Linked DNA regions of Drosophila melanogaster. The protein of the gene in region 3 interacts with the protein of the main gene of each other region in a biochemical or structural test. Each region holds a gene or a part of one and is shown on either strand. Other genes may lie near its edges. The genes, in order: Ubi-p63E, Ubc10 and LUBEL.

What was found.
Region 1: of the proteins of LUBEL (region 3) and Ubi-p63E, one has a biochemical effect on the other in vitro, tested with the Drosophila melanogaster proteins (one study listed by BioGRID).
Region 2: of the proteins of LUBEL (region 3) and Ubc10, one has a biochemical effect on the other in vitro, tested with the Drosophila melanogaster proteins (one study listed by BioGRID).

What each region holds. Positions count from the first base shown.
Region 1 is NT_037436.4:3,893,522-3,904,766, reverse strand, and holds Ubi-p63E (Ubiquitin-63E), read left to right. Parts: upstream 1-1,582; 5' UTR 1,583-1,763; intron 1,764-1,846; exon of another isoform or gene 1,847-1,912; intron 1,913-2,059; exon of another isoform or gene 2,060-2,240; intron 2,241-2,716; exon of another isoform or gene 2,717-2,914; intron 2,915-2,996; 5' UTR 2,997-3,007; coding exon 3,008-5,299; 3' UTR 5,300-5,336; downstream 5,337-11,245. Other genes in the region: Sc2, read right to left, coding at 1-83, 146-261, 482-698, 856-1,226; Ccz1 (Caffeine, calcium, zinc sensitivity 1), read left to right, coding at 5,669-5,752, 5,808-5,905, 5,970-6,763, 6,827-7,308; Lamtor4 (late endosomal/lysosomal adaptor, MAPK and MTOR activator 4), read right to left, coding at 7,412-7,619, 7,676-7,830; Gr63a (gustatory receptor 63a), read left to right, coding at 8,164-8,373, 8,434-8,583, 8,659-9,768; Fie (fire exit), read right to left, coding at 10,509-10,598, 10,653-10,789, 10,853-11,234.
Region 2 is NT_033778.4:17,785,422-17,794,237, forward strand, and holds Ubc10 (ubiquitin conjugating enzyme 10), read right to left. Parts: upstream 3,990-8,816; 5' UTR 3,682-3,989; coding exon 3,217-3,681; 3' UTR 2,993-3,216; downstream 1-2,992. Other genes in the region: aft (adrift), read left to right, coding at 782-823, 879-1,319, 1,373-2,992; CG5033 (uncharacterized protein), read left to right, coding at 4,326-4,427, 4,498-5,812, 5,876-6,363, 6,424-6,719, 6,783-6,936.
Region 3 is NT_033779.5:6,765,188-6,775,407, forward strand, and holds the start of LUBEL (linear ubiquitin E3 ligase), read right to left. Parts: upstream 5,782-10,220; 5' UTR 5,699-5,781; intron 5,523-5,698; 5' UTR 5,458-5,522; coding exon 5,404-5,457; intron 5,347-5,403; coding exon 5,148-5,346; intron 5,084-5,147; coding exon 4,947-5,083; intron 4,895-4,946; coding exon 4,766-4,894; coding exon of another isoform or gene 4,742-4,765; exon of another isoform or gene 4,650-4,741; intron 4,550-4,649; coding exon 4,211-4,549; intron 3,941-4,210; coding exon 3,659-3,940; intron 3,606-3,658; coding exon 3,317-3,605; intron 3,259-3,316; coding exon 2,071-3,258; coding exon of another isoform or gene 2,024-2,070; exon of another isoform or gene 1,909-2,023; intron 1,827-1,908; coding exon 1,399-1,826; intron 1,340-1,398; coding exon 784-1,339; intron 696-783; coding exon 1-695. Other genes in the region: CG17378 (uncharacterized protein), read left to right, coding at 9,506-9,700.

The DNA.
Region 1 (11,245 bases), on a different chromosome or scaffold from region 3:
GATAGGCAGCCAGGCAAGAAGTCAGCACAGAGAATGAAACCCAGGCACCGATCTCATAGGTGTAGTTGGGGCAAGAAACCAAGCTGCAGTTCGAAGAGCGCGAATTAATAAACTTGAGCTGTGGGTTTTTTTAGTGACCACTTACTCGAACAGCTTGGTGAGGGGATTTCCATCGGCCACCGGAATCTTGCGCACTTTTGTTCCCGGCGGACGCAGGTTGCGCAGGGCAATGTGCACCGAAAAGTTTCCTAGTTCGCAGAGCTGAAAGTGAAAAGTGTGCGGCTTAGTTTGTGGGTCTGCAAATATGATTAATGGATCCCAAATATATAGCACATATAACATTACAAATTGCTTGACCAATTTTAACAAAAAGCTACACCTTTGGTATTAAGAAACAAATGTTTCGAACAAAAGCAAAGGAAACCGGTAGATTACGAAAACATATAACCCAGATCCATAAACCATGGCCGCGGATACATACAGCGAATGCCCCAAGAGCTCCCCAAACGGTGCACATGCAGGGCGAGGTGAACTGCGGATGGTTCACGTGGTAGGACACATAGGCGGTGAATCCCCAGTAGTATGTGCAGTTCTTGAAGAGATTCCTCAGCGGCATGGTGGCGTGCGAGAAGCGGTGCACGAAAATCGTCTCCAGCAGACGCTTCACATAGTGGACCGTATAGCAGCCGGCGGCAATGCTGGGGCAAAAGAGAAAAGAAAGCGGGTTACTGGGTGAACCACCATCCAAAGTTCGGGGATAATTATGCAGAGCCGTTGCGTTTTAGTTTGCATAAGCGACGAGGTCGATTAGGTCGACAATCGAAAGACTTCAGAGACTACTTTCTACAAACTCACTGGGTGGTTAGGGAAATCGGCAGACTGGCAGCTTTGCCGTACACCAACTCCGGTCGGAAGTAGAAAATCAAGTATACAATCAGTGGGCCGGCGTACTCGGCCAGGAAAACGGTCTTCCAGCCAATCTGGGGACCCAGATCCTTCACATAGATCTTGTCGCCGGAACGCAGCGACAGGGATTCCAATGTGTCCGTATCCTTTAGGCTTTTGCCCTTCAGTTCCAGACGAAGCGACTGGCGATTCGCGTGTGGGGTCTGCTTCAGGGTCTTGTGAATTAGGGCGCGCAGATCGCCGATGGGCGTGGCGCCGGAGGGCACCTTCACCTTGCCGTACGGCTTGCTGTTCTTCGCGTTCAAAATCTCCAGCTCCATTTTGCTTTCGGTGCGCTTGCAATCAGTACTGTCCAAAATCGAAAATCGCCGAACCGTAGTGTGACCGTGCGGGGCTCTGCGAAAATAAACTTTTTTAGGTATATGGCCACACACGGGGAAAGCACAGTGGATTATATGTATTAATATATTATCCAGGTTTTCATTACTTATCCAGATGTAAGCCCACTTAAAGCGATTTAACAATTATTTGCCGAAAGAGTATAAACAAATTTTACTTAAAAATGGATTAAGAAAAGCTTGTGTAAGATTATGCGCAGCGTTGCCAGATAGCTCCATTTAAAACACTTCAAAAACAATAAGTTTTGAAAATATATACATAAATAGCAGTCGTTGCCGCAACGCTCAACACATCACACTTTTAAAACACCCTTTACCTACACAGAATTACTTTTTAAATTTCCAGTCAAGCTGCGAGTTTCAAAATTATAGCCGGTAGAGAAGACAGTGCTATTTCAAAAGCAAACTAACAAGGGTCTTAAATTCCAAAACACCAATCCTAACAAGCCTTGGACTTTTGTAAGTTTAGATCAAAGGTGGCATTGCATTCAATGTCATGGTAAGAAGTAGGTCGTCTAGGTAGAAATCCTCATTCAGCCGGTCAAGTCAGTACGAGAAAGGTCTCAATTTGAAATTGTCTTAAAAATATTTTATTGTTTTGTACTGTGGTGAGTTTAAACGAAAAACACAAAAAAAAAGTGATACATAGAAATCATAAAAAATTTTAATACAAGGTATTCGTACGTATCAAAAACATTTCGGCACAATTTTTTTTCTCTGTACTAAAGTGTTACGAACACTACGGTATTTTTTAGTGATTTTCAACGGACACCGAAGGTATATAAACAGCGTTCGCGAACGGTCGCCTTCAAAACCAATTGACATTTGCAGCAGCAAGTACAAGCAGAAAGTAAAGCGCAATCAGCGAAAAATTTATACTTAATTGTTGGTGATTAAAGTACAATTAAAAGAACATTCTCGAAAGTCACAAGAAACGTAAGTTTTTAACTCGCTGTTACCAATTAGTAATAAGAGCAACAAGACGTTGAGTAATTTCAAGAAAAACTGCATTTCAAGGTCTTTGTTCGGCCATTTTTTTTTATTCAACGCTCTACGTAATTACAAAATAAGAAATTGGCAGCCACGCATCTCGTTTTCCCAATGAATTGGCATCAAAACGCAAACAAATCTATAAATAAAACTTACGTGTTGATTTTCGCCAAGATTTATTGGCAAATTGTGAAATTCGCAGTGACGTATTTGAAAATTCGAGAAATCACATACGCACTCGAGCATTTGTGTGCATGTTATTAGTTAGTTGTTTAGTTAATTGAAGTATTTTACCAACGAAATCCACTTATTTTTAGCTGAAATAGAGTAGGTTGCTTAAACAAAGCCACGTCTGAAAATTTCTTATTGCTTGTAGTTGTGACGTCACCATATACACACAAAATAATGTGTATGCATGCATTTCAGCTGTGTATACATACATGCACACACTCGCAACACGAAAACGATGACGAAGCAACGGAACAAAGGTTTCTCAACTACCCTTTGTTCCCTGTTTCTTCGCTTTCCTTTGTTCCAATATTCGTAGAGGGTTAATAGGGGTTTCTCAACAAAGTTGGCGTCGATAAATAAGTTTCCCATTTTTATTCCCCAGCCAGAAAGTTAGTTTCAATAGTTTTGTAATTTCAACGAAACTCGTCTGATTTCGTACTAATTTTCCACATCTCTATTTTCTTCCCGCAGAATAATCCAAAATGCAGATCTTTGTGAAGACTTTGACCGGAAAGACCATCACCCTCGAGGTAGAGCCCTCGGACACCATTGAGAATGTTAAGGCTAAGATCCAAGACAAGGAAGGAATTCCCCCAGATCAGCAGCGTCTGATCTTCGCCGGCAAGCAACTGGAAGACGGACGCACCCTGTCCGATTACAACATTCAGAAGGAGTCCACCCTTCACTTGGTCCTTCGTCTCCGTGGTGGTATGCAGATCTTCGTGAAGACTTTGACCGGAAAGACCATCACCCTCGAGGTAGAGCCATCGGACACCATTGAGAATGTGAAGGCCAAGATTCAGGATAAGGAGGGAATCCCCCCAGATCAGCAGCGTCTGATCTTCGCTGGCAAGCAGCTTGAGGATGGACGCACCCTGTCCGATTACAACATCCAGAAGGAGTCCACCCTTCACTTGGTCCTTCGTCTCCGTGGTGGTATGCAGATCTTCGTGAAGACTTTGACCGGAAAGACCATCACCCTCGAGGTAGAGCCATCGGACACAATTGAGAATGTTAAGGCTAAGATCCAAGACAAGGAGGGAATTCCCCCAGATCAGCAGCGTCTGATCTTCGCCGGCAAGCAGCTTGAGGATGGACGCACCCTGTCCGATTACAACATCCAGAAGGAGTCCACCCTTCACTTGGTCCTTCGTCTCCGTGGTGGTATGCAGATCTTCGTGAAGACTTTGACCGGAAAGACCATCACCCTCGAGGTAGAGCCTTCGGACACCATTGAGAATGTTAAGGCTAAGATCCAAGACAAGGAGGGAATTCCCCCAGATCAGCAGCGTCTGATCTTCGCTGGCAAGCAGCTTGAGGATGGACGCACCCTGTCCGATTACAACATTCAGAAGGAGTCCACCCTTCACTTGGTCCTTCGTCTTCGTGGTGGTATGCAGATCTTCGTGAAGACTTTGACCGGAAAGACCATCACCCTCGAGGTAGAGCCATCGGACACAATTGAGAATGTTAAGGCTAAGATCCAAGACAAGGAGGGAATTCCCCCAGATCAGCAGCGTCTGATCTTCGCCGGCAAGCAGCTTGAGGATGGACGCACCCTGTCCGATTACAACATCCAGAAGGAGTCCACCCTTCACTTGGTCCTTCGTCTCCGTGGTGGTATGCAGATCTTCGTGAAGACTTTGACCGGAAAGACCATCACCCTCGAGGTAGAGCCATCGGACACCATTGAGAATGTGAAGGCCAAGATTCAGGATAAGGAGGGAATCCCCCCAGATCAGCAGCGTCTGATCTTCGCCGGCAAGCAGCTTGAGGATGGACGCACCCTGTCCGATTACAACATCCAGAAGGAGTCCACCCTTCACTTGGTCCTTCGTCTCCGTGGTGGTATGCAGATCTTCGTGAAGACTTTGACCGGAAAGACCATCACCCTCGAGGTAGAGCCTTCGGACACCATTGAGAATGTTAAGGCTAAGATCCAAGACAAGGAGGGAATTCCCCCAGATCAGCAGCGTCTGATCTTCGCCGGCAAGCAGCTTGAGGATGGACGCACCCTGTCCGATTACAACATCCAGAAGGAGTCCACCCTTCACTTGGTCCTTCGTCTTCGTGGTGGTATGCAGATCTTCGTGAAGACTTTGACCGGAAAGACCATCACCCTCGAGGTAGAGCCATCGGACACAATTGAGAATGTTAAGGCTAAGATCCAAGACAAGGAGGGAATTCCCCCAGATCAGCAGCGTCTGATCTTCGCCGGCAAGCAGCTTGAGGATGGACGCACCCTGTCCGATTACAACATCCAGAAGGAGTCCACCCTTCACTTGGTCCTTCGTCTCCGTGGTGGTATGCAGATCTTCGTGAAGACTTTGACCGGAAAGACCATCACCCTCGAGGTAGAGCCTTCGGACACCATTGAGAATGTTAAGGCTAAGATCCAAGACAAGGAGGGAATTCCCCCAGATCAGCAGCGTCTGATCTTCGCCGGCAAGCAGCTTGAGGATGGACGCACCCTGTCCGATTACAACATCCAGAAGGAGTCCACCCTTCACTTGGTCCTTCGTCTCCGTGGTGGTATGCAGATCTTCGTGAAGACTTTGACCGGAAAGACCATCACCCTCGAGGTAGAGCCCTCGGACACCATTGAGAATGTTAAGGCTAAGATCCAAGACAAGGAGGGAATTCCCCCAGATCAGCAGCGTCTGATCTTCGCCGGCAAGCAGCTTGAGGATGGACGCACCCTGTCCGATTACAACATCCAGAAGGAATCGACCCTTCACTTGGTGCTCCGTCTCCGTGGAGGAATCCAGGCTTAAACTAAATACATTTCCAAATAAACACAATTTAGCACGCACTTCACTCTAAATAAATATGAGGAGATTATGGATGGCCACTTTCCTTTCTGCATTGTCAAAAGGGAAGACATCAGAAAAATTCTAAATTTCAGTAAACGCCATGACATAAATTTTATTAAATCTATTAAATTCCAAAATAAATGAAAAAGCTTTAAATTCGCTTATTAATTGTGTGGTATTTTTTTTAATTTGGTACTGGAAACGTTTGGTATATACTAGCACACTACATTTGGTAAAATGTAACCCTGGTTGGCAAACACGGACGCGTTAGTACCTTTTCATTATTTACCTTTGGCCAAAATAAATACTTTTAATTCTGTGCGGAAAGAAATGGCTAAATTATTGCAACGCGTAGAAATTACGTTACGCAGCTTTTACATTTTTAACTCGACTTTTGGCCAAGTTGAAGGCGAGGTTGGCAAATCAATTTTAAGGCTAAGAAACGCCCCTAATGAGTAATTTTTTTCAGGAACACAAGAAGGTTTTGTTTTACCATCCAAATGACATTGAATTAAATACGAAAATCAAAGATGTGGGACTAAGTGAGGCCATCATAAGGTTCACTGGGTATTTATGGAACTTTTTACATAGAGGGAAGTGGGTAATAATACAGAGTTTGCTGTACTTGCAGAACTTTTACATCTGAAGATGATTGCCAGGCCTTGCATACCCAGAAAACCACACAACTCTTCTACCAACCCGAGCCAGGGTATTGGTTAGTACTGGTCCTGAATGTTCCCAAGGAGGTGCGCTTAAAGGAGGGCGTGGAGGTGGCCGATTATCGGGGTGCCGAGATCTCCGACAGGATTTATAGAGCAATACTTAGACAATGCTATCAAATGTTTCGCTTTCAAAACGGATGTTTCTCCTCCTGCGGAAGTGAAGAACCTAATCCGGATAAGCGTAGGGAACTGCTCTGCCAGAAGCTACTCCAGTTCTATGATCAGCATCTGACCAACCTGAGGGATCCCGCGCAATGTGATATCATCGATATGCTGCATTCCATTCAGTATCTGCCATTGGATAAAACGCTCTTCTTGCGGGCCCAAAACTTTGGCACCCTGTGCGAGACCTTCCCCGACATCAAGGAGAGCATAATGCTCTACCAGGAGCAGGTCCTTTGTGGCGGAAAACTTAGCCCGGAGGATCTGCACTGCGTGCACTCGTATGTCGTGCAACACGTGCTGAAAGTCGAGGCCAGCAGTTCCACCATTGCAGTTTCTCCTTCACTAAAGCGAAGCATAAGTGAATGCCAGGTGGGCGGATTCGTAAGAAGTCGTCAGAAGGTCGCAGGAGATGAACATGACGCTGTGAATGAGGAAGATCATCCAATGAAGGTCTATGTGACACTGGACAAGGAGGCCAAACCCTACTACTTGCTCATCTACCGCGCTTTGCACATAACTCTGTGTCTGTTTCTGAATGGTATGTTAAGGATTAGAACTAAATAGCCAAAATAATCAACTTGAAACATTCCACATTTGTCAGCTGACCAGGTTGCGCCGAAACAAGATCTCTACGACGATCTCCATGCCTACATGGCTCCCCAACTGACTTCGTTGGCCCGGGACATATCCAGCGAGTTGACAAAGGAGGCGGTGGGTGCTGCAGGCCAGGACAACTCCAGCGGGAACAGCGAAACGGCGCCGAAGTACTTGTTCATTAACGAACAAAGCCTGCAGCACCACACGAACTTTCAGAGGCACCTGCCCCAAGGGCTGCCCCGCAATGTGCTTAGTATCATTGCGGACTTGGCCAATGGCAGTGGCAAGGCGGAAATGGAGAGTGCTCCTGCCGAGGAAGTTCAGGTCAAGACCACCAATGACTATTGGATTGTGAAGCGGCGCTGTAACTACAGGCAGTACTATGTGATCCTGTGCAATAGCAAGGCCACCTTGCTGGACGTCACCCAGGAAGCGAGGCGCATTTTCGAGCAAGAGCTCACAGATGATGTATTTTTTGACAAATAAAGAGGAGGATTAGGTAAATAATGGGAGTGCGCCAATTGTGGGGTCTTTGTCCGGTTGCTTGCCAACAGAATCTGCAAGTGGGTCGGACATCCGACGACGGATTTCAAGCCAGCACTGCCCCGGAATCGCTGGCATCGTTATACACGCTGTTCGACGAGGAGGAGCTCGTGGTCGTGGTGACGCCATTCTGCGATTTGCTGATCTTAATGATGTATATTCTACGGTTGGACATGCAGATGCTGTAGTAGTGATGCTCGTAATCGATGGTGATCCTCTCGCAGCTGCTGCTCGGCATGAAGGACTCGTCGATGCTACAATATAGGCGTAATTATTACAAAATTCCTTCATCCTTTGTTTAAAAACGCACGTCTCTGTGAGATTTAGTAATCCCATTATCACATTTGCACTGCGCTCATCGTTCTTCAGATCTCCGCCGGACTCCAGAACTGCTCCATCTTCCTTTAGTATCAGATAGCCAATTTGATTGGGCACAATCAACTTTTCCCTGTCCATTTTCAACATATTTATTTATTTATCTTTCGCACCCACACCCACCAGTGTGACCGGACTAGATCCATTTAGATACCAAATCGGTAGCCTGGCAGCCCGGTTTCAGTGTTGTAAATTGCCACATGCGCGCCATTGACACAAATTCGAAATTGGGACACCGGGCTAAGGTTAATTCATTCAAAAGACAAACAACGCACATCAACAGGAAACTAAAACTCCGGCTCTAAGTCAACAGAGGGCGTGGTCGATAAGGGGGCGTGTGCAGGTGCATGGCTAATGCGTCCGTCTGGCGAAAAAGTGGTAAAAGGCCACGGACAAGGAAATTCCGGACACAGTCTCTCCGGAATGGCCAACTACTATCGACGCAAGAAGGGTGACGCGGTGTTCCTCAATGCAAAACCGCTGAACAGTGCTAATGCCCAGGCATACTTGTACGGGGTCCGCAAGTACTCCATTGGATTGGCGGAGCGATTGGATGCGGATTACGAAGCTCCTCCGTTGGATAGGAAAAAGAGCTCGGACAGCACGGCGTCCAATAATCCGGAATTTAAGCCGGTTTGTGGATTGCTACGCTGTTAAAACCATTTTTGTAAAACTGAATTTCGCTGCTTTCAGAGTGTTTTCTACCGAAACATAGATCCCATCAATTGGTTCTTGAGGATTATTGGAGTATTACCCATCGTGCGACATGGTCCTGCTCGTGCCAAGTTCGAAATGAACTCCGCCTCCTTTATTTACTCGGTGGTTTTCTTTGTGCTCCTGGCGGTGAGTGTGGTGTTTGCATAACATTTTTCAAAATTGACTATGGATACCATTATGTAACCCAAAACCGCTTTACAGTGCTATGTAGGCTATGTGGCCAACAACCGCATCCACATTGTGCGCTCCCTGAGTGGACCCTTCGAGGAGGCGGTTATTGCATACCTCTTTCTGGTCAACATCCTGCCCATTATGATTATACCAATATTGTGGTACGAGGCCAGGAAGATAGCAAAGCTCTTCAATGATTGGGATGACTTTGAGGTGTTGTACTACCAGATATCCGGGCACAGTTTGCCTCTGAAATTGCGACAGAAGGCGGTGTACATAGCCATCGTGCTGCCAATTCTCTCGGTTTTATCGGTGGTCATCACGCACGTCACCATGTCGGATTTGAACATTAACCAGGTGGTGCCCTACTGCATCCTGGACAACTTGACTGCAATGCTGGGTGCCTGGTGGTTCCTCATCTGCGAGGCCATGAGCATTACGGCTCATCTTCTGGCGGAGCGGTTCCAGAAGGCACTGAAACACATTGGACCCGCTGCCATGGTGGCAGACTACCGTGTTCTGTGGCTACGACTGAGCAAGTTGACCCGTGATACTGGAAATGCCCTGTGCTACACCTTTGTTTTCATGAGCCTCTACTTGTTCTTCATCATTACCCTTTCGATTTATGGACTAATGTCGCAACTCTCCGAGGGATTTGGCATCAAGGACATAGGACTGACTATCACGGCTTTGTGGAACATAGGACTGCTCTTCTATATTTGCGATGAGGCACATTATGCCTCGGTTAATGTGCGAACCAATTTCCAGAAGAAACTACTCATGGTGGAGCTTAACTGGATGAACTCGGATGCCCAGACGGAGATAAATATGTTTTTGCGAGCCACCGAAATGAATCCATCGACCATCAACTGCGGTGGCTTTTTTGATGTGAACAGGACTCTCTTTAAAGGACTCTTAACCACAATGGTCACTTATCTGGTGGTTTTGCTGCAGTTTCAGATCAGTATCCCCACAGATAAGGGGGATTCTGAAGGCGCTAACAATATAACCGTAGTGGACTTTGTAATGGACAGCCTGGATAACGATATGAGTCTAATGGGAGCCAGCACTCTGAGCACCACCACTGTAGGAACCACTTTGCCACCGCCAATTATGAAGCTAAAGGGCCGGAAAGGCTAGTGGAACAAATAATCCTAAGACAAGAAAGATATTATTAGATAATGTGCATCTGTAGCTGAGGCCAAATAATAAAAGCACCCAAAACTGAATATTCCAAACATTTTTCTAACTTGATGTACATTAAATTAGTAAGTGTGGAAATAATAAAAAACACGTTCATTAGATATGTTACAATTTTGCACTTTTATTTGATATTCGTTCTGTGCCACAAAATAGAAATACCTAAAATATTGCTAGTCAACAGAATTTAAGGCATATTATAGTTAAGTAGTGGTAAATCTACTGAGAAACTAAGCTTTAAAAAATTCGTTGCTACAATACATATTTGTATGAACGCCAATTTATTTAAGACAAGTTTTTCGTTTCAAGATTTTGGGGCTTAATCAATCTCGGCTATCCCGAGAGTTTCGCTGCCGTAGCCTAGGGGTTAGAGAGTGCGACCTTCGCTTCGAAGTTCCGAGTTCGAGTCGCGTTAGTGACCAAATATTATTATTATTTTTTTTATTTTTTAAGGTGCTTTGGGAGCTATTTCTACACAAAAATAGTTTATAGTTTAATCGCCGAACGCTTTGAACCGATTCTGCATTTCTAATAAGCCGCTCCATGTCCGTTGGCTATATAAAATAGTATCTCTACCAAAACCATATCACACTCTGTTTTGCAATACAGAATTTGCAGTGCAATTGCAATCAAGACACCTGATGGGAAGTTCCAAAAATATCCAATCTTTCAGTACATGTTTAACACTGTCCATCGGGAGACTCGGTTAGAATGTGCTTATATCCATTGCTGCCCAGATACATGTGCTCGCGTTGGAAACGATAGGGTATCTAATGTATAAGAAAGTTACTATTAAAGTTTTCAAAATATTGATACCAACTTACGGCTCCTGGAGCTGGACATGGTATGGCCACAGTGGCAATCTCTCGAAGCTTATTCATGGTGCGTAGACTCTGGTAGAAGCTATGCATCACATACCACTTGCAGTAATCCATGCAGATCAAGATGTAGCAAATGATAACTGAAATATAAGATAATTCGTTATTATTTACTTCAAAATTTAAGCCTAAAAATCCAAACTTACAGTAGGGCACTTGACCACCCAGCAATTGCACGATTTTTGTATCCCTCAGCATGAAGACCAGTGCCCCCAAACCAATCATTAATAGGAACTCCACAACCAGCCAGGGTATGATTAGGCCCGGCCGATTTTTGAAGACTCCGAAAAACAGGAATATGGCACTCAGGGCGTAGGTACCCGCGATACCAGCCATCACGTAGAGCAGATTCTCCGTGGCGACGGCCAATTGGGCAGCGGTTTGCAGGCGAAGATCGTTGTGAAAGGGCGACATGTTGTAGAAACCATTGTCCTTCTGGTCCAAGATGTCCAGCTCCAGCACCTCGCACATCTGTTCGGCATGCGCCAGTCCCAGGAGAACCAGGAAAAGGGCGCAGTGGGAGATTAACTGGGGAATAT
Region 2 (8,816 bases), on a different chromosome or scaffold from region 3:
ACATTCCGATTGGGAGTGTAAGTTTATATGTATGTATATGTAACTTTCCGACAATTTCTCCAACTTCCGTACTTGGGCTATCCGCATCAATAAAATAAGATTTTAATGAAATATTAGTATGCACAATCGAATCACTAACGGATGATGACCAATAGTTTCGTAACCGCACACTTTGCAGGCACCTTATTTGTCGCCTGCCGTGCGCTTTCTAAATGGATAGTTCCATAGAATCAAAGAAATCAGTTTCCACGTTTCCACCATCGGGCATCTACGGGAAATGCCTTTGACGATCATCGCCGTCGAAGGTGGAAAGGAAGTTACATTTCTACAGGAGATAGCGATTTTGTTCTTTTGATAAAGGGAATTAGTCGAAAAATACCTAGAATTAAGAAACATTTTTAAAAGAAATATGCGGCAAAAAAAAAAAACAATTGCATTTAACATATTGGCTGAAGTTATTTTTCAACCTTTAACTTTTAAACAAGATGGAATTCTTGATGGCTTTTGTTCTTATTCCATTCATCTTCAGATACAAGCTATGGAAACGTCTAGCCAAATCTTCTGCATCTACGAATTAGCTATAATATTGCATTAGAGATATAAAATAATTATTCATTGCAGCCCGGAAAATCAATTTAAATTTGATAGCTTAATCGATAACGTTTGCGATTTTTAGTTACCGTCGCTAAGATTTAGGCGATGGATCGCTTTGAGCTTTTTCCATCTCTATTGTGTCGCAGATCGCTTTGTTTTTGACGCCTCGCATTTAAATTTAGCCGGAATGAGCTTTCGTTCGTCTCCGCAGGGAAAGCCACACCCAATGGTGAGTAAAGGATGCTACATCCTACAAGTCAGTCATTACATTTCACACTTTACAGACGGACTATCAGTCCATCCGGCCTTCCGAAGTGGAGCAGCTCTTCGAGAAGAAGTTCCACTATCAGAAGCCGAAAGGAAACAAATCCTGGCAGTTGCCGCCACCGGATCAGGCTCTCTTCAGTGAGTTCTACCAGTTCGAGGCGCTGCAGGGACTGCGCGAGCAGCTGAATGCGGTTAAAAGCAAACTCAATGACTATGGCGTGCAGGAATGGAGTGCTCACACCAACAGGCGTGACCCTTCTGGCGAGGTGTCCTGGCGCCTGAAAAACGACACGAAGGCCGAATTTGTAACTGTGGCATGGTGCAAGTTGTTCGAGTGCCTGCATCGTTATCCATTGGTCACGAAGCCGGCTGTCAACAGTATGCATCTCTGCGAGGCACCCGGTGCCTTCATAGCATCTCTGAATCATTACCTTCATAGCAAATATGAAAAGGATGAGGTGAGTTATCAAGTCATCCTTGAGAGATACGAGAACGGAACTCTTTTTTCCAGATTAAATGGCGCTGGCGCTCAACTACTTTGAATCCGTACTATGAAGGCAATGCTATAAACCAGATGATCAGCGATGACAGGTTCATCGTCCACACGCTGGACAACTGGTTCTTTCACAAAGATCTAACTGGAAATCTACTAGATGTGGCCAACATTGACCACCTGGTGGAACGTTGTGAGGTGGAGTTCCAGGGACAGGTGGATCTTGTCACTGCCGATGGTTCCATCGATTGTGCCGCACAGCCTGATTGCCAGGAAGAGATAGTGGTTCGCCTTTTCTTTGCTGAAGTACTCAGTGCCTTAAGAATTCTCTCAAGTGGCGGTAACTTCCTAGTGAAGATGTTTACCCTCTTCGAGGCTTGCAGTGTATCTCTACTTTATACACTCAATTGCATCTTTGAGGAGGTACACATCTTTAAGCCGGCTACTTCCAAGCGGGGAAATTCGGAAGTGTATGTTATCTGCCTGAACTACAACAAGGACCATCCCGACTTGCCTCGTTTGCTAGAGGAGATAAAGAGCAAGCTTGCTCAGCCGAATGACACATTGGTAATGCCACTGTTTGCCAAGTTCCAGATTCCCCACGACTTTCTCATGCAGCACGAGATCGCCTGCCGTATGTACATGAAGCTTCAAACGGATGCCATCGAGGGCAGTATCTATGCCTACGAGTCCAATGATCGTCATTATCTGAGACATCTTCATCACCTGCGCAGTCTTGTCGCGAACACCTACTACAGTCTATACAAAGTGAAGCCATTAGAAGATAGCCTGTGCATCGTGGACAAGGAGGCCACCAGTAAGGCTCTGGGATTCCAAGTGCCTGTCTATGGCGGTTCCTACACAGAAAGGGAGTCCTTGAAACACGGTGACCTTCTCAAGCAGATTTACTGCTTGCGTCGGGAATTTAATCAACTGGAGAAGTGTCTTAACAATAGAACACCGTATTCATACGTTAAGAACAGAACGGCACCCTTGAATCTTCACATTTCACGAGGAGCACCTGTTCAGAGCCTGCAAAGCAGCATGTTTGCCTCGGAACCAATACTCATTCTGCGCCTTCGCATCCTGGACACATTTGAACTCGACCCTGTCTGGCAGTCTGCGCCAAAGTGCCAGTTGGAAAGCAAGACACTATGCTACCTGCCACCAACAGAAGACGAGGCATTCCACACCGCCCAGCAGCGCTTTTTCATTGATCTCCTGGAAGAAGTAAAGAAATTGAAGCCCGACAGCATTGTCTTCCACAAGTTCCTGTTTCTCACCCATTACGCGGCGTCGCTGCTCTTATTTCTCATAGAGAGCGTTTATCAGGATTGTTGTTTTAATAGCAATCAAGCGCAAACTCTCACGTTGAGTAAGCTAAAAGATACGGCTAACAGTGCCTTGGAACAGGTGCTGGAACTTCTTAAGGACGAGCAGGCGGGGGCCATTCACAGCCTGCTGGACATTAAGGAGCTGCAGAAGAACCAGTTCAGCAAGGCCCTCATTCAGCACAACAACAGCATTGTAATGACCTGCTTCCGTAGCATGTTGGGCGAGGAATCATTTCCCATGCCCGTAGCTCCGACATCCAACTCAGATGTCGGTTCCATCCAAGAGTCGGCAGCTGTATTTTAACATAACGAACATGTATTTCTCACTTGCATCAAATTACAGTGCTACTTTTACAAAACTAGGTACTCTGCCGGGGAAATATCTGCTTAAATGTTTTCTGAGGATAGTTTTTCATGGATCAAGAATGAAAATTAAATAACTAACAGAAAAATCACAAGACTAAGGGGTAAGGGTACACATGGGTTGTGGACTGGCCCACCTCCTCCAGCTCTACCTCCGCCTATCCGCTAGTCGGCCGGACGTTTTTCGCTGTGCTTCTTGGTGTAGTCCTCGGCGTTTTTCACGAATTTTTTGCGATCCTTAAGAAACTCCTCGGCCAACTCCGCCCGCAGCGGATGCTCCGGCTCAGGGTCGTTGATTAAGTCCACCAGTGCCTGCACGACCTGGTCGGTGCGTGTGGCCGGTTTCCAGTTCTCCGTACTGATAATGGGCAAGCACACCTGGCCCTTCTCATCGATGTTTGGATGGTAGATGCGTGTCTTAAAGTTAATCTTGGGCGGCTTGAAAGGATACTCCGCCGGAAAGTTGATCTCGATGCGGAAGGCGCCCTTGTTGTACGGCGGATTGTCCGGGACAATCAATCCCGTCCAGCGCAGCAGGTTGTCATCGTCCGCCTTAATGTCCCGGAAGGACTTCAGTGCGTTGCCCTGCAAATCGCTCAATTCTTTTCGCAGGCGTCGCGGCGCAGTCATCGTGATGTCTATGTGTGGGTTCTCTTATGCTGGTGTGTGCGTAGGTGTGTGTGGAACGGAAAGAGGAGGGGGCCACCTTGCCAATGTGTGCGTGTGCACTTTTGTTTGCCCTTGTGTGAGCTGCAAATCGATGGTTTTGTCTTCCGGATATGTAATACTCTCGTTCAGCCGCCGGTGTTTCGTTGTTGGTGAGCTCCTAGTGCTCCAGTTGCGGGGTGTCACCTTTGGTTTTCGCACTGGCCCAAAAAAATCCGCACGTAAGTCTGCGAATTTCGCTGAAAATGGTTCGTTGAAGAATCTTCCAATTAGCGTTAGGGTATTTTGCAGACTTGCTCGCAACGGCGCTGCAATTGGTATACATATACATTGGTCATGTATAACTTTGTCTTGATTTTGCAACTTGCAACGGCTGTAATATTATGTTTAATACTAAATAAATCTTTATTGGAAAGTATTTATTATAGATGTATATTTTAAGAGAGGTAACAAATGAAAATAAAAGGGTTGCTGTTTCCAAATGGATTTGTAACCGATTACCAGCAGCAGTGGCGGCAAGCCAATCGATAGGCAACCGTTTCAGGCGATTCCCATCGCTATCGCTGACTGCAACACGTGCGCCGCGTTAGTTTTGTTTTTACCTCAAAATGACCAAAAAACTAGCTCTGAAACGCAGAGGAAAGGATTCGGAACCCACAAATGAAGTGGTGGCCAGTTCCGAGGCTTCCGAAAACGAGGAGGAGGAGGAGGTAAGACCCATTGACAGTGATATAAAAAGTCATTTCAAAATGACCTGCATGTGTGTTTGTGCTCTTTAAGGACCTGCTGCAAGCTGTAAAAGATCCCGGCGAAGATTCAACAGATGACGAGGGCATAGACCAGGAATACCACTCGGATTCCAGTGAGGAACTGCAGTTCGAGAGCGATGAGGAGGGCAACTACTTGGGCAGAAAGCAATCTTCATCAGCTGAGGAAGATGAAGAAAGTAGTGATGAAGAGGATAATGAAGAGGAGGAAAGCACTGATGGAGAGGAAGTGGAAGATGAGGAGAAGGATTCCAAGTCAAAGCAAACAGACGATAAGCCCAGTGGAAGCGGTGCCGCGTCTAAAAAAGCCCTTACAGCAGAGCTCCCGAAACGGGATAGCTCGAAGCCTGAGTATCAGGATTCAGATACCTCCGACGAGGAGGACATAAGAAATACTGTAGGCAACATACCCATGCACTGGTACGACGAATACAAGCACATCGGTTACGACTGGGATGCCAAGAAGATTATTAAACCACCACAAGGAGATCAAATTGATGAGTTCCTGCGTAAGATCGAGGACCCAGACTTTTGGCGTACCGTCAAGGATCCACTTACCGGTCAGGATGTGCGCCTAACAGACGAGGACATTGCTCTGATCAAGCGCATCGTTTCGGGTCGCATACCCAACAAGGATCACGAAGAGTATGAGCCCTGGATCGAATGGTTCACATCGGAGGTGGAAAAGATGCCCATCAAGAACGTACCCGACCACAAACGCTCTTTCCTGCCCTCAGTTTCCGAGAAAAAGCGCGTCTCTCGCATGGTGCACGCCCTCAAAATGGGCTGGATGAAGACCACTGAGGAAGTGGAACGCGAGAAGCAGGCCAAGCGCGGTCCCAAGTTCTACATGCTGTGGGAAACGGACACCAGTCGGGAACACATGCGCCGCATCCACGATCCAGTCTCTGCGCCCAAACGCGACCTTCCCGGTCATGCCGAGTCCTACAATCCACCGCCAGAGTATCTTTTCGATGCCAAGGAGACCAAGGAGTGGCTTAAACTAAAGGACGAGCCACACAAGCGCAAGCTGCACTTCATGCCACAGAAGTTCAAGTCGCTGAGGGAGGTGCCCGCATACTCGAGATACCTTCGGGAGCGTTTCCTTCGTTGCCTGGATCTTTACCTGTGTCCCCGTGCAAAGCGTGTCAAGCTGAACATCGATGCCGAGTACCTTATCCCCAAGTTGCCCTCGCCGCGTGACCTGCAACCCTTTCCCACGGTGGAGAGTATGGTTTACCGTGGCCACACCGATCTGGTGCGGTCTGTTAGTGTGGAGCCCAAGGGAGAGTACCTCGTCTCCGGTTCGGATGATAAAACCGTCAAGAGTAAGTACTAATTTAATTGACAACCTTTTAGATATCTTCTTACTAATCCATCTCACCTCACAGTTTGGGAAATTGCAACAGGTCGTTGCATTCGCACAATCGAGACCGACGAAGTGGTACGCTGTGTGGCTTGGTGTCCAAATCCCAAGCTGTCTATTATTGCGGTGGCCACTGGCAATCGCTTGCTGCTCGTCAATCCTAAAGTGGGCGATAAGGTGCTGGTGAAGAAGACCGACGATCTCTTGGCTGAGGCGCCCAGTCAGGATGTCATTGAAAGTGAACGCATCAAGACGGCGGTGCAATGGTCAAATGCGGAAGCTGATGAGCAGGAGAAGGGCGTCCGCGTAGTGATTACCCACTTCAAACCCATCCGACAGGTGACCTGGCACGGTCGTGGTGACTACTTGGCCACAGTGATGCCCGAAGGTGCTAACCGCTCGGCTTTAATTCATCAGTTGTCCAAGCGGCGCTCACAGATTCCATTCTCCAAGAGCAAGGGTCTCATCCAATTCGTGCTCTTCCATCCGGTGAAGCCCTGCTTCTTTGTGGCGGTAAGTGGGTTAATTTTCTTTTGTTAGTATGTCTTATTGAATTCTGTTTTTTCTTTACAGACGCAACACAACATTCGCATTTATGATCTGGTCAAACAAGAGCTTGTCAAGAAGCTGCTGACCAACTCCAAATGGATATCGGGCATGTCTATTCATCCCAAGGGCGACAATCTGCTGGTGTCCACCTATGACAAAAAGATGCTCTGGTTCGATTTGGATCTGTCCACAAAGCCCTACCAGACCATGCGACTCCATCGCAATGCAGTTCGCAGTGTTGCTTTCCATCTTCGATATCCGCTCTTTGCTTCCGGCAGCGATGACCAGGCTGTGATCGTCTCCCATGGCATGGTCTATAAGTAAGTGGCTATAAATCAACATTGCCCAAGGTTAATTACGAATTTCTCCAAACTTTTTTTTAGTGACCTGCTGCAAAACCCTTTGATTGTGCCTCTCAAGAAGCTGCAAACACACGAGAAACGCGATGAGTTTGGTGTGCTGGATGTTAACTGGCATCCGGTGCAGCCATGGGTCTTCTCCACGGGCGCGGACAGTACCATCCGACTATACACGTAATTTAGGTGTACAAACCCCAAGAAAGTTTCTTTTAGTTTCCGAAAGTTTTGTGAAATTTCAATAGTAAATAAAAAATATATTAATTTTTATGAAAAGTAAAGTATTTCATATAACCATTTCATTCGAACATTTTAAAAACAACGGTTTTCGAAATCAACGGGATCCCAAAATCAAAATGTAAGTGCAACCCTGCCGAAAGTTTATAAGTTCTGGCCCCAAAGCTTTGCGGTAAATTCCAGTGGGGCGAAGAGTCCCGAGCTTTATTCTCTTTTTCCGACTCGCGCACATGTCTTACCGTCCGTTCTCTCGCGCTCTCCGCCTGTCAGTCCCTCTCCTGTGTGTACCAGGAATTCTAACTGTATAGCAATTCCACAAAGCTTTTCGCTCAGTCCACCTATGGAGCCCTCCCCCGGCTGCCCACTTTCCACTCGCCGTTATCTTGCGTTCCTCGGGAGGAGCGCGCGCATTGGAAAATCAAAATCAAGAGCTGGCGACACGGCACTGCTTGGAAATCAGTCGCCTGCCTTTGCCCGAGCGGAGAGAATCTCGAAACGCTCGAATCGACCCGTCGAGGATTTTGGCTTCAGCTTCTGGGTGCTGCTGGTGCTGAGCAGCCAAAATCGCAGAGCGCAGAAATCGAATGGGAATTGGCTGCCATTGCGGGGGCACCGAGCACGAAGGAATATAATAAAATATGGCCGAGGGCGAAATGTGAAAATGTGAAAATGCCAGTCCAGGCAGTCCAGTGACCACGAAAATTGCAGTTTCCCCCAATTCGTATTCATACACACACACACATTCTCAACAGTCAACGAAAAAAATCGTAAAGAAATTCACAAAAAAAAAATCGAAGCACAAGCAAAACAATTTCGGGGCGAAAAAGAAAAATATATACAAATATACACATTTCGATTCCGATTCTAGTGGCAAAAATTCGTATGTACTCGTCGCTGCTCCTCAAAAACATACATACATACAAACGCGACCCCCTTTTCCCGCCCACCCATTCGCCCAAAAATCCTCAAAGAAAATATAAACGTGTGTGTGGTGTTTGAGTGAAAATCTGAACGGAAGCGCTGGTTCAACAACAAGAAAATAAAACAAAATATACATATAATATACATAGATAGCCAGGCTAAAGGCAATGGTCAACAAAAGAACCCAAGCAGCTGATTTGTGATAAGTGCAACGACCAAAAATCGCTGGCGTTTCGAGTTACAAACAAGTGCAATTAGCTGCTGATGCCTACATGTTGCAGCTGTTGCAGCAACATCAGCACAAGTGGAGAAAATCACGCATACGCCCCATCCGCCCAACGGGCCAAACAATGCGCTCCACTTAGCCAAGTTGCGTGTCAATGTGGTGGTACTCCAGCCCACCCCCTCCTCACGCACACACGCACAGACGCACGCACACAACGGCGCCTACATATATATGTACATATACAATGGCAGTGTAATGACTAGCACAAGAAATAAATAAAGGCCAGAACAACAACTACGGTGGCAGCTCCAGCTGCTCATAAATTTCGTAACGCTTGTGAAATGTGCCCCTTGGTGCACGGGGCCATTGAATCGCTAGATTTTCGCCCGTAAATCCGGAGCGGAATATGTAAATGCCACCCGCGCACCGTCAACTCTCTAAAGAAACGCTAGACCCCCTAGAAAAAAAAACGGAAACCAAACCCACGCGAAGGTTTGAAGTCAGGAACCTACGATAAGGATAACTACTACTCGAAAAGGTTATCGAAAAAATCTTGAAGAATTTCTGGAATTTTTCGGCTTGTAAAATCGCCCAAGGAAAAGCTAAGGAGAAGGAAAAAAAACATAAAACAAAACGAAAACTAAAATCAAGAGCAGCAGCTGTGGGCAGAGCGAGAA
Region 3 (10,220 bases):
TCGTTCAGTGCCACGATCAAATTCCAACTTGAAGTTGGCTATTTCAGTGGCATAGATAAAACTGGGTTGAACTTCCTCACGAATGCTGGCTTCCCTTAAATTGGGCTTGATGACTTCCTCCATGATGTAGACAGCAGGATCGACACTTGGTGTGGGCTCAGGCTGAGGTTCGAGTAGAGGTTCAGGCTCCTTTGGCTGTTCTGCCTCAATTTTAGCTACCTCTTCCGGTTTCTCCATGAGCTCCTGTTCAACCTGTTGCACCAGGTTGGGCACAATTTCCTGAATGTGTTGCCATACAAAGTTCTTTACATCATCGGTTGACTTATCCTCTGCCGGTCCAGATGGTTTCATTGTGCTAATGGGGCTCTTTGTTAGGATACGCATTATCTCCGGATCCGTTTCGTACTCCAGTTCCGGCTTTCCCTTGAATGTGTCCAGCATGGTCTCGATGGAACGTAGAACCTCCTGGTTCTGCTTGGCCTGGTTCTGTTCCATGTTGCCAATGAGTATCTCCAGGTTCTTCAGGGTGCTGTCCTCCATCTGATAGGGACTGGGTGTGGCATAGGTGGATTTGACGGGGCTCTCGTCGGTGCGGGGTTGGTCGAAAGGATTGGCTTGGGCGGGGCTGGGACTTTGCCCAGCCAACGGAGGCTGCAGGCAGTCCAAGGCGTGTGTGTTCAAGAAGTCATGGATATCTGTATTGGCAAATGAATGCGCGGGGGGAGAGATAAAAATGGGACATTATGGCACTGCGATTGACTGATGCACGATCTACAAACTAACCCGACTTGGTGTCTATGGCCACGCCACTCTCATTCTCAACGCCATTCGGCGAGCCCCAGATGCGCATTAGAAATGGCTTGAGTTGCGTGCGATTCAGCTCCACCAGCGCCTGCTCCACATTACCTTGGTGCGCAGTCAGCGCGTTGACAATGTCATCGCGCAGGAAGTTTCCCTTGGCCGCCAGTTTCCTGTACTTCTGCTGCCTCTGTTGGATGCAGTCAGCCACCGCCTGCCACACATTTCCCCCCGAGTTGCGCAATGCCTCGCGTGCTTCGTTTTGGGACACAGTTCCGATCGTGTTTTCACCCCTCTCCTGTCCGTACTTGGTTGACAAACTCTGCACCGTCTGCACCAGCTTGTGCCAGTTCTCGCGCAGCCACTGAATCGGATGAGTCTCCGGGGAGCAGTACTTAAGGGCAGCTTCCAGTTCCTCAACCGTAAACTTGTACAGCTCCAGTTCTTTCAGTATGATGTGCATTTCCGTTTCCGGATCTCTGGCCGGCTCATGCTTGACTCCGAATGTCTCATGCGGCATATCGAAAGGTGAAGATACTTGCTGTAACACATGGATCCGTTGGATTATGTCAACTATCAAGTATTGCCATAGATACTTACAAGCTGCAGCATGCGTAGCTCGTTTATGAAATTGGGTCTTTTGGTGACCAGACCGGCACTATATGGATCCAATCCAAAGCCGTCGTGATACCTCAGGTCATTGGCACTCCGATAACGTTCACTCTCCTGTTGCAGCTGGGAATTGCTGCGATAGTGCGGACGTCGCTCCATCTTGTTTGGTTCTGGAGTCGTGAAGCGGTCAGGAACAACGGGGATGATCTCTTCTTGCTTTGTATTGAAGGGCAGAGCGTCGTAGGTCTGTGTGGAAATGCTTTGTGGAGGCGGGGAGGTTCCCATCTCCACAGCTGCTATTTCCCGGGGAGGAGTCCCACCACAGGCCGTGGAGACCTTCTGAGCCTTCTTGAGTACCTGCTCCGCCTGCGCCTGTATGCTCTCATCCAGAGTATTCCAAATGTTTTCAACGGACTCTGGAACGATACGGATGAGAGCATTAGCTTTTGGGGGAACGGGATCGGGGTCACCAACGGATTGAAATCAAACAAACGGAATGCGGCTTGGGTTATGGTTCTCTTTTGTATTTCGTTTCCATAAATGCGTTAATTGTAGGCTTACAGTTGATGGCTCTATTAGTGTACTAACTAGGTATAGTCTTTGGTGGTTGGGCTTAGGTCTTTGTGCCTTCGAAAAATGAGATTCTCTTTTGTATCCTACCTTTGTGCAGAAGACTCTTGGCCAGCGAGTTATCGGATTCATTTTCCGACGAAGTTTTCAGTGTGGATTTCGATGGTGTCTTGATAGGAATACTGGAGGTGGTCTTGGAGTTTACAGCTGGCGACGCTTTTGAGCTAGACGTGGAGTTGGTGTGAGTAGTCTTCGAAAGAGCAGCAACGGATTTCTGACTGGGTTGTTGGCTCTTTGTAGTAGGCTTTTGCACTGGCTTAGTTTCCGTCTTGGAAGACGCCTTGATATTGTTAGACTTTTCAGCTGGAGGCTGTGGTTTTTCCTCTACCTTTTTGGCCTTGTTGGGCTGCACTGGAGGTTTGCTGGGCGTCTTGCAGCATATGGAGCAGATCTTGATGTTGGGCTCGTTCACAAACGTGCAGAACTCGCATTCCCATTCGTGGTCTGGGGTAGAAGGTGGTGGGCCGAGATCATCAGCCCCAATCTCGTCAGGAACTTCCTGGGGATCGGGTGCTGTTTGAGCCTCAGCCTCACTCTCTGAGGCGGTTACCTCTTCGACCACTTCCTCGTATTCCGAGGCACTCTCTTCATGGGCTGGTGGCACCACCACCTTTTGCACCACCGCTGCCGCCTGTGTATTCTCGTCCTTCATCTCCGGCTTGCGTTTTGGCTCAGCCTTCTTCGAGGATTTGTGCTGATCGGCTTCTTGGAGCTTCTGCTGAATTTTAGCTTGAACCAAGGCCCGAGCACCCGATCCCTCAGACTCCAGATCGGAGTAAATGCGACTGGTTCTGGCCGAGTCCGTTGCTGTTTTGTTTCTGGTAAGGGTTCCCTCATTTTCCCGTCGCTCCGGTAGCCACTCACTCTGCACGGACTTGGCAATGGATCCCCGACGATTCCGCATCTTGTGATGCACCTGATCGCCGTCCAATTCATCGCTGGCTATGAGTTGGGAGGCACTGGACAGGCGCCTTTGGCGGGGCTGGATATGGTTTTGGTGATGCTGGGAGCGCGAGGCACTAGTCATGCCCGAGCGATTGGACACCAAAGATCTGCGGTCATCCTGGTCGGAGTCCTCGTCATCCGTAAGTTCGTCATCCACGTAGCTATTGCGCTTGCGACGCAAGGACATCGATTTGCGGCTGGGTGTTGGTGATGCAGCGTACCGGGAACGGGATGCAGCTCTGGAGGCAGCTGAAGGTGGCATTCCCATGACACCTGCGCATTTAAAGTGCAATATGTAAATTAAAATATAACTAATAGTGCCTCATTTTACCTGGATGCATCATGGGATAGCCTGGTGCTCCTGGATACACATTGGGCATCATACCACGCTGGGTCATAAACACTGGTGGCGGATAGTGTGGATGATGTTGCTGCGACATGTAACCCGGTCCAACGTTCAGGGACAGATTGGAGTTGTTGAATTGCTGTTGGGAGCCGAACTGTGACCACTGATCGGGATGCTGGTGCTGAGGAAGTGCTTGGTGCGGATGCTGTGCCCAGCCAGGATGCTGCTGACTCTGTTGACATCCAGCGCAGTTTAGCTGCGCCAGGGATTGGGCCTGCAAGCGGGATGGTATCTTAGTTTCTAAGGGAGCATGAAACTCTAACTCACCTGCTGGATGCGCTGATTGGCGAGCCAGGCACCTCCGTTTTGGGCCTCGGACAGTGGTCGACGTGGATTCGAGTTGAGATTGAACACCGATGTGCTCATCTGTCGCCGCTGGGCGCCGGCCGCCTGTCGTTGTTGGAGCAGCAAGGAATTGTGAAATTGTGAGTCATCCGAGAGATCGAAATGGGATGAGTTCAGGCCGGATGACATGCTGCCGGAACGAAAATGCGAGGGCGATGGTGAAATGTTTGACCAGTGCTCGAAGCCGGCTTCATTCGACAAATGCTGCGCTTGGGAAATGACCAACGAGAAACGGAAAAAGAAAGAGAGAGAGAGAGAGGAAAGGGAGAAACGACACATGACGAAACGAGACGAGACGATACGATACGAAGTGCAAGGATCAAATACTATCAAGGATCAATGATTAATAAATTAACATTTCATTTACAATTATAACTGATCCTTGACACAATTTTCGCCGAGCAAAGACAATACGATACACTCAGTGATGAGGGGACTCGTACGATTGTGATTCGGGGTCAACGGGTCACTCACCTGTTCGCTGTTGGCGCTCAGATCCTGGCGAGCCTTCTGTTGGCGGTACCGCTGCTGCAGAATGGCCATGCGGTCCAGCGTGGCGCTGGCCTTGCTCTTGATCTTCTCCAGCTGCACCGACGGCGGTCGCTGGATGGTGTCGAACACGGACTTGGGGGTGCCCGATCTGGAAGATCCCCCGCCCTCGCTGCGCGGTGGATCGGGCAGTGGTCGGTTGTTCATCTGGTTGGCAGAGCTGGTGGCAATTGGTGGCACTGGGGGCGTGGCCCCGCCACCGAGCGATCCCCGCCAGCCGCCCAGCGACTTGTGCGAGGGCGTGGGCGAGGGCGGCGGCAGCATCTGGAAAAGAGTCGGGTTGGGTGCCATTTCGTATGGGTATTCGGGTAACAATTGAAAAAGTATGTCTGGATCGCTGTTTCTACAATTTTGGTCGGGCGTTCTGGTTGTAAGGACTCTTTTATTGAAGCATTCAAATTGAAGTTTACAAACTTGGTACTACGTGTAGCCCATGAAGGAGCCTTTCTTACGGGTCTAGGAGATCGTGCAGTGGCGTACCTGATCCTTGCGGCCCAGAAACGGTGTCAAAAGGCCTCGTTTGCTGCGTCGTGGAGGTGCCACTGGTGGTGGTGCCCCACCACCGGCCTGTGCCTTTGGCGGAATCGGCGGTGTGCCCTGCTCCACAGCCTGCAAAACGAAGTTCTTAAGTTCAAATTCATAATGGATCGGGAGAACTTACCTTTCTCATGTGCTGCTTACGTTTGGGATGCTTGTGGAACATGTCGTCGCAGGAGGCGCAAAAGATTTGGCCGGCGCACTCGGCACAGGTTACCCAGGGATTCTGGGAACCGCACAAGGTGCACTTTAGTTTGTTATCTGCAAGTGATAATTATCTCTGGTAGTATTTTAAATAAGTGGAATATATAAAAAGGTTGCCCACCTGGTGTCTTGGTTCTGATCACTGTGGTCTTCATCGGTTCGTTGGAGTACTGCTGGCTGGAGAATTCGATGATCTCGTAGTCCGGCTCGGGAGTGCTCTTCGCCTTGGGCGGCAGAGCAGGCGCCTTGGGAAGACCACCAGCCACACCGTTTGGTGGCGTGGGTGGCGGTTTGGGCCCAATGCGGTCATTTGCCTCCATCTGAAATGGGTAATTAGTGCAATTGGATATTGACTGGCAAACTGGATATTGGCTTACCACCCAGGAGGGCATGGTGCGAACATTCTTGTTTAGCAACTGGTGGGTCGTCATCTTGGTCGATTTTTTCGTCTGGGTTTTGCCGTCACTTAATCGTCTTTTTGCGCTTGATTGGTTTTCTATTTCATCGAAATACGTAAGCAGCAAAATATTAATATTATTATAATTATTTATAGATCGCAAATACCCTGTGCCATATTTTCGCCCAACCGCAGCCACTTCAAACGACTTCAAATTCAATTAAGCAAAGTGCCAGAAAATGCGAATTATGAATGCATATTTTTAGCTGGCTCACCCAAATTCCGAAGCCAATGACCAAAATGCAGTTTCGTGGATGCCGTGCACAAAACTAAACGCTGCCACAGTTCGATCGCGAATAAAAACGCTAAATGTAGTCGAAAATATCTTTCGGTGCATAGAAAACAAAAATTGAAAAATGTATATATTTTGGCATAACATTTTCGGTCTTGTTTATTTATGAAATCATGCGAAAGAGGGAAGTGCTGTTTTGTGACTCAATCGACTCATTCTGTCAACGCGGCTAAGTGGCTGAGATGCCAAGAAAATTGCAAAAGAGATTAGACTAGGGAGAAGAATTCGAATTTGAAAATAGTTCTCAAAAGTTTCGAATAGAAGAGTATTTCATGTAAATGCTTGAAAATAAAAGCGAGCGAATAAAACTAACAGAGAGAGGGAAAATATTGACTAAAAGCTGAGCGAATATGCATTTGGTAATGACGCAGGTGGCCAAATCGTTGCCAAATAGTTTAAATTAAATAATGGCCTAAACAACATAATAATTCCATTAGTAAAGGTATTTCAAATGCTGACTTTAGTATATATTTTAAGTTTACTATAATTGCGTCCAAGGCATCAAACTTTTCAACTCAAAGGGCAACGCACCGGTAAAAGTTATATGTATATAACTAAATATTTCATATATAATTAACTTATTAGATATCTATGTTTCTTCATGTTTTATGAAATGTGTATCTATGATACCAAGGAATCATTTATCTCTTGCATATTCTTGTAAGTTAAGATTGAATGTTAATTAAACTTTTTAATATACATATCTGCACTTCAAAGTTTTCCTTACTACATTTTATATTCCTGATACTTTGAGACAATTTCCCGTTTATTGAATATGTTTTATATCTCAATAATATCTTTTAGAGCATATATTAATCCAGCAGCTCTGGCATATTTTCCACGCACTAGTTAAGTGCGTAACGAGCCATAAAATTTATCCATAAATTTCGGAGTCGCGACGCCTCAGCCAGCATAGCAAAAATCAAGCCACACTGTTCTCTCGCATTGCGTATACGCAACGTGTTCGCTGGGCCTGCACTCCCGTGTCTGTTGCGCTATTTTTGAAACCATCCGCAGCCACTCCATACATTTGCCCCGAAATTGTGTCACACTGTGCAGCAATATTTATGAAAGCCGCCTGCAGTGGTGGGAGGGGCATGGCCCGGTGCCACCTCAATCCCGCCCAGAAGATCGGCCTGCTCCGTGCGGCGACTTCGAGTGGCAAGTGGCCTGGCAAGAGGCAAACGCAACGCTGACTCACAGACACAGACTCACGCGGCGAGGGAAAAAGTTTTATTTTTATAGGAGAACGAACGGTGGGAACTATTTTTAAACATTTCTTTGGCTTGCCTATATTTGCGTTTTTTTTTTTAGTTCACAGTTTTTCATTATTTCAAATTGGCAAATTAGCTTAAAAAATTTGATTTAATTTTGTATACTTTATTTTACGCTTTGATTGTTTATCCCGGCCAATGCCTTGAACTTTCCCATGGAGAGCGTTCTCCGCGTTTAAAATTAGCTGAGTTTTATATTTAGAACACTTGAGATCGATTTAATTGCGGTGTGATTTTAAATTGGCTTTTGAACTTTCGTAATGGATTCGATCGACCATGAACGGTTGGATATCCGCGAAATCAGAGGTCACTTACATAATTCGATTTCACTTGACGCGTCTTGCCGCACTCAAAACTGCCACTGCCAGCTGGTAGCACATGAATATATATATATATATATATATATATATATATATATATATATATATAGGGATATATATATTTTCCTGATATCTAGCCACAGCGCGACATGAAAATTCAGCTACGGTCTCGTTCGACGATCGTCTCCCAGCGAACTGAAATCTCAATCAGATTCTAAACAGCACTTTTACTGCAGTCCGCGGTCCCCAGTCGTCGCCCGAGTAGGAGGAAGTCAACGCAGATCTATGTGCTCCTCTGGTCTCGTCTGGTACGGTTTCCCCCTGGTGATCCCCTCAATCCTCGATCAGTCGCATCTCTTTCCTATTTTCAGCATTTTCGCGTTGTTTTATAAATACATCGTTTTCGAGCGGCATAGAACATTTTGACTGCGAGACGCCGTCGCGTGTGTGAATATCATTAATTCTCGAATATATATCATTCTCAGCTATTTGTTGTTAAACATTTTACGTTGTTATACGGAACTGATTACTTGTTGCGTTTCTTTTTCATGAATGAAAATATGACAATTGTATCGAATTGATGTCCTGCGATCTGATCGACTATTGAACTTTATGGCGTACCTACATATATCATTACCAAAGTTCAAGTTCAATGGAATTTCAGATAACATAAATATTTCCGCATTAATTCTTATTATTTATCTAATATTTTATCCAAAAAACCGTGGCGCCTGGGGAAAGCGCTGAATCGTTCATCGGGATACACGCCAGCTATAATTATGATTTATGAAAAACAAGTATCTGAAGGGATCTCCCGCAGTTTAGCCTTGAACAAATTCTGCACATTTAATGCTAACAATAAAGAAGAACATCTATTAATTTTGGATCGAACAAATGGTATCAGCAATAAAAGCATCGCCATGGGCCACCTGCTGCCGGCCGGAGGTGCAAATCGAGTGGCAATTTCGATGGATGGACGATGGATGGGAATTATGGAATTAAAGCCTCCGTGGGTGGGTCCATTTTCGGTTTTCCTAGCTAGCTGGTCTAAAAATAAATACAATGCATAATAAATTGGCTGCGCGACAAAGTCAAAGTTCGACAATTGCCGGCACGCACATTTTCGGTTGGGAGACCATTTGCCCACCATCCTGCAAAAATGGGTGGGCCGCCCACGCAGTGACCTTGCCGCGTTTGACGCAAGCCGATGTTTTCAGGATCAGCTGACTGTCAGCTGTATGTAAACAAGTTAAAATGCCGGGTTCCTCTCCTTCGGCCACTGCAAAGCATTCGGGAAGCTTTCCCATGAGCGCTTGTGTAGAAATCGCGCGCCATTTTCCGGCCGAGCTTTTCCCGAGCAATATTCTATTCGAAGTGGCATGTAGATATTATGTAGATTTTCTTGCAATCGATAACAGCTGCGAACGTAAAGCCCTTCGAATGTTAACGAAACCCCTGAGTTTTGGCCAGCATTTTCCGGCTGCATTCGCGAAATGTTCGCTGCAGGCAATGGACGCGAGTGGAAAACTCAAAGGAAAATATTTACGGTTAGCCTGCCGCCATCGTGTTGCGTGTACAAAAGGGGCGTGTGCGTGCGCTAGTGTGTGTGAGAGAGTGTGTAGTTGTGGGCCAGGGGAATTGAGAATTTACTAGTAGTATCCCAGTTGGGCGCTCAAGCAGTACGTGCGAAAAATTAAGCGTTAAAAAAGTGCCTTTATAATTTACCGATTATCCTGACATTACTTTGCCCTATACTAGTTTAGTAGCCCAAAAACCTACGATCATTCAATCAGGTATATATTTAAAACAAAAGAAGCTGAGTGTTTGCTTAGCAAAAAGTTGCATAAATTGGCAAAAATAATAATGAAAATTAATCAAAAAGGGTGACGAATTTAAGGTACAAGAATTTAAGCTTGCAAAGTACATGAAGTGCGCCAAAAAAACTGCAGTGCAATGTTCACCTTCACCCAGTGTGTATGACATGCAGGCAAATGAAAAATCGATACCAGAAGCATCAGCAGTTGCAACGCTCTACGACCGCTCCCAATTAGCCACAAGGAACTGCATCATCGCGCAGCAGGTCCCTTGAGCCCGAACATCGTACTTCCAGTGGACTTGGGGCAGGACACTATCTCCATGGTGGATGCCAAGCCGCAGCCACCCACTCCGGGCGCAATGCCTGGAACGGGAACACCGCCGGGCGGATTCGCCGGCGAGCGATCGAAGATCAAACTGTTCATGGAACGGACGCCCAGCATTGGAGCCCTCAAGTCCAAGTTCCTCACCGTGCTGGGCAACAGCAACGAGCTGCTCAACGGAATATCGAACAAGGTATGACTACAACTAGTGATGACAGCGTGAGCAGCGTGGTAAAAGATACAAATACTACAAGGGTCATGGTAGTACTAATTAGGGATTAGTTACTAAAGATTGTTTTAAACCTGGCACTAAGTTACGTTAGCTGGTTATTACTTTGTTAAGATGCTATGTAGGATTCATTACATAAAATACCATAGACATATTTCATGGACTCACGAGTGACTGTGGGTCACGCATACCTCTAGGGCTCAGTTGGGGCAGCCTTGGTAATGAACGCGACAAGAGGTGCTTGCTGGTGGTTGCGGGGGGAAAGGGGATTGTGTGTGGGTTCTGTCTATGCTGCAAAAGCAGAAGCAACTGACACTTTGATGCTTTTGTTGTGCCGTTGTGTTTGTTCTTGCTATTTCCGCTTTGCTGCTGCACTCGGTTGACCTTCAGTGGGGAGGCCCGAATCCCAATCCCAGTCAGCGCTTGGGGCATGTGCCGGCTATGGATGGGGCTAGAAATGCAAAAAGGGGGGGGGGGGGTACAT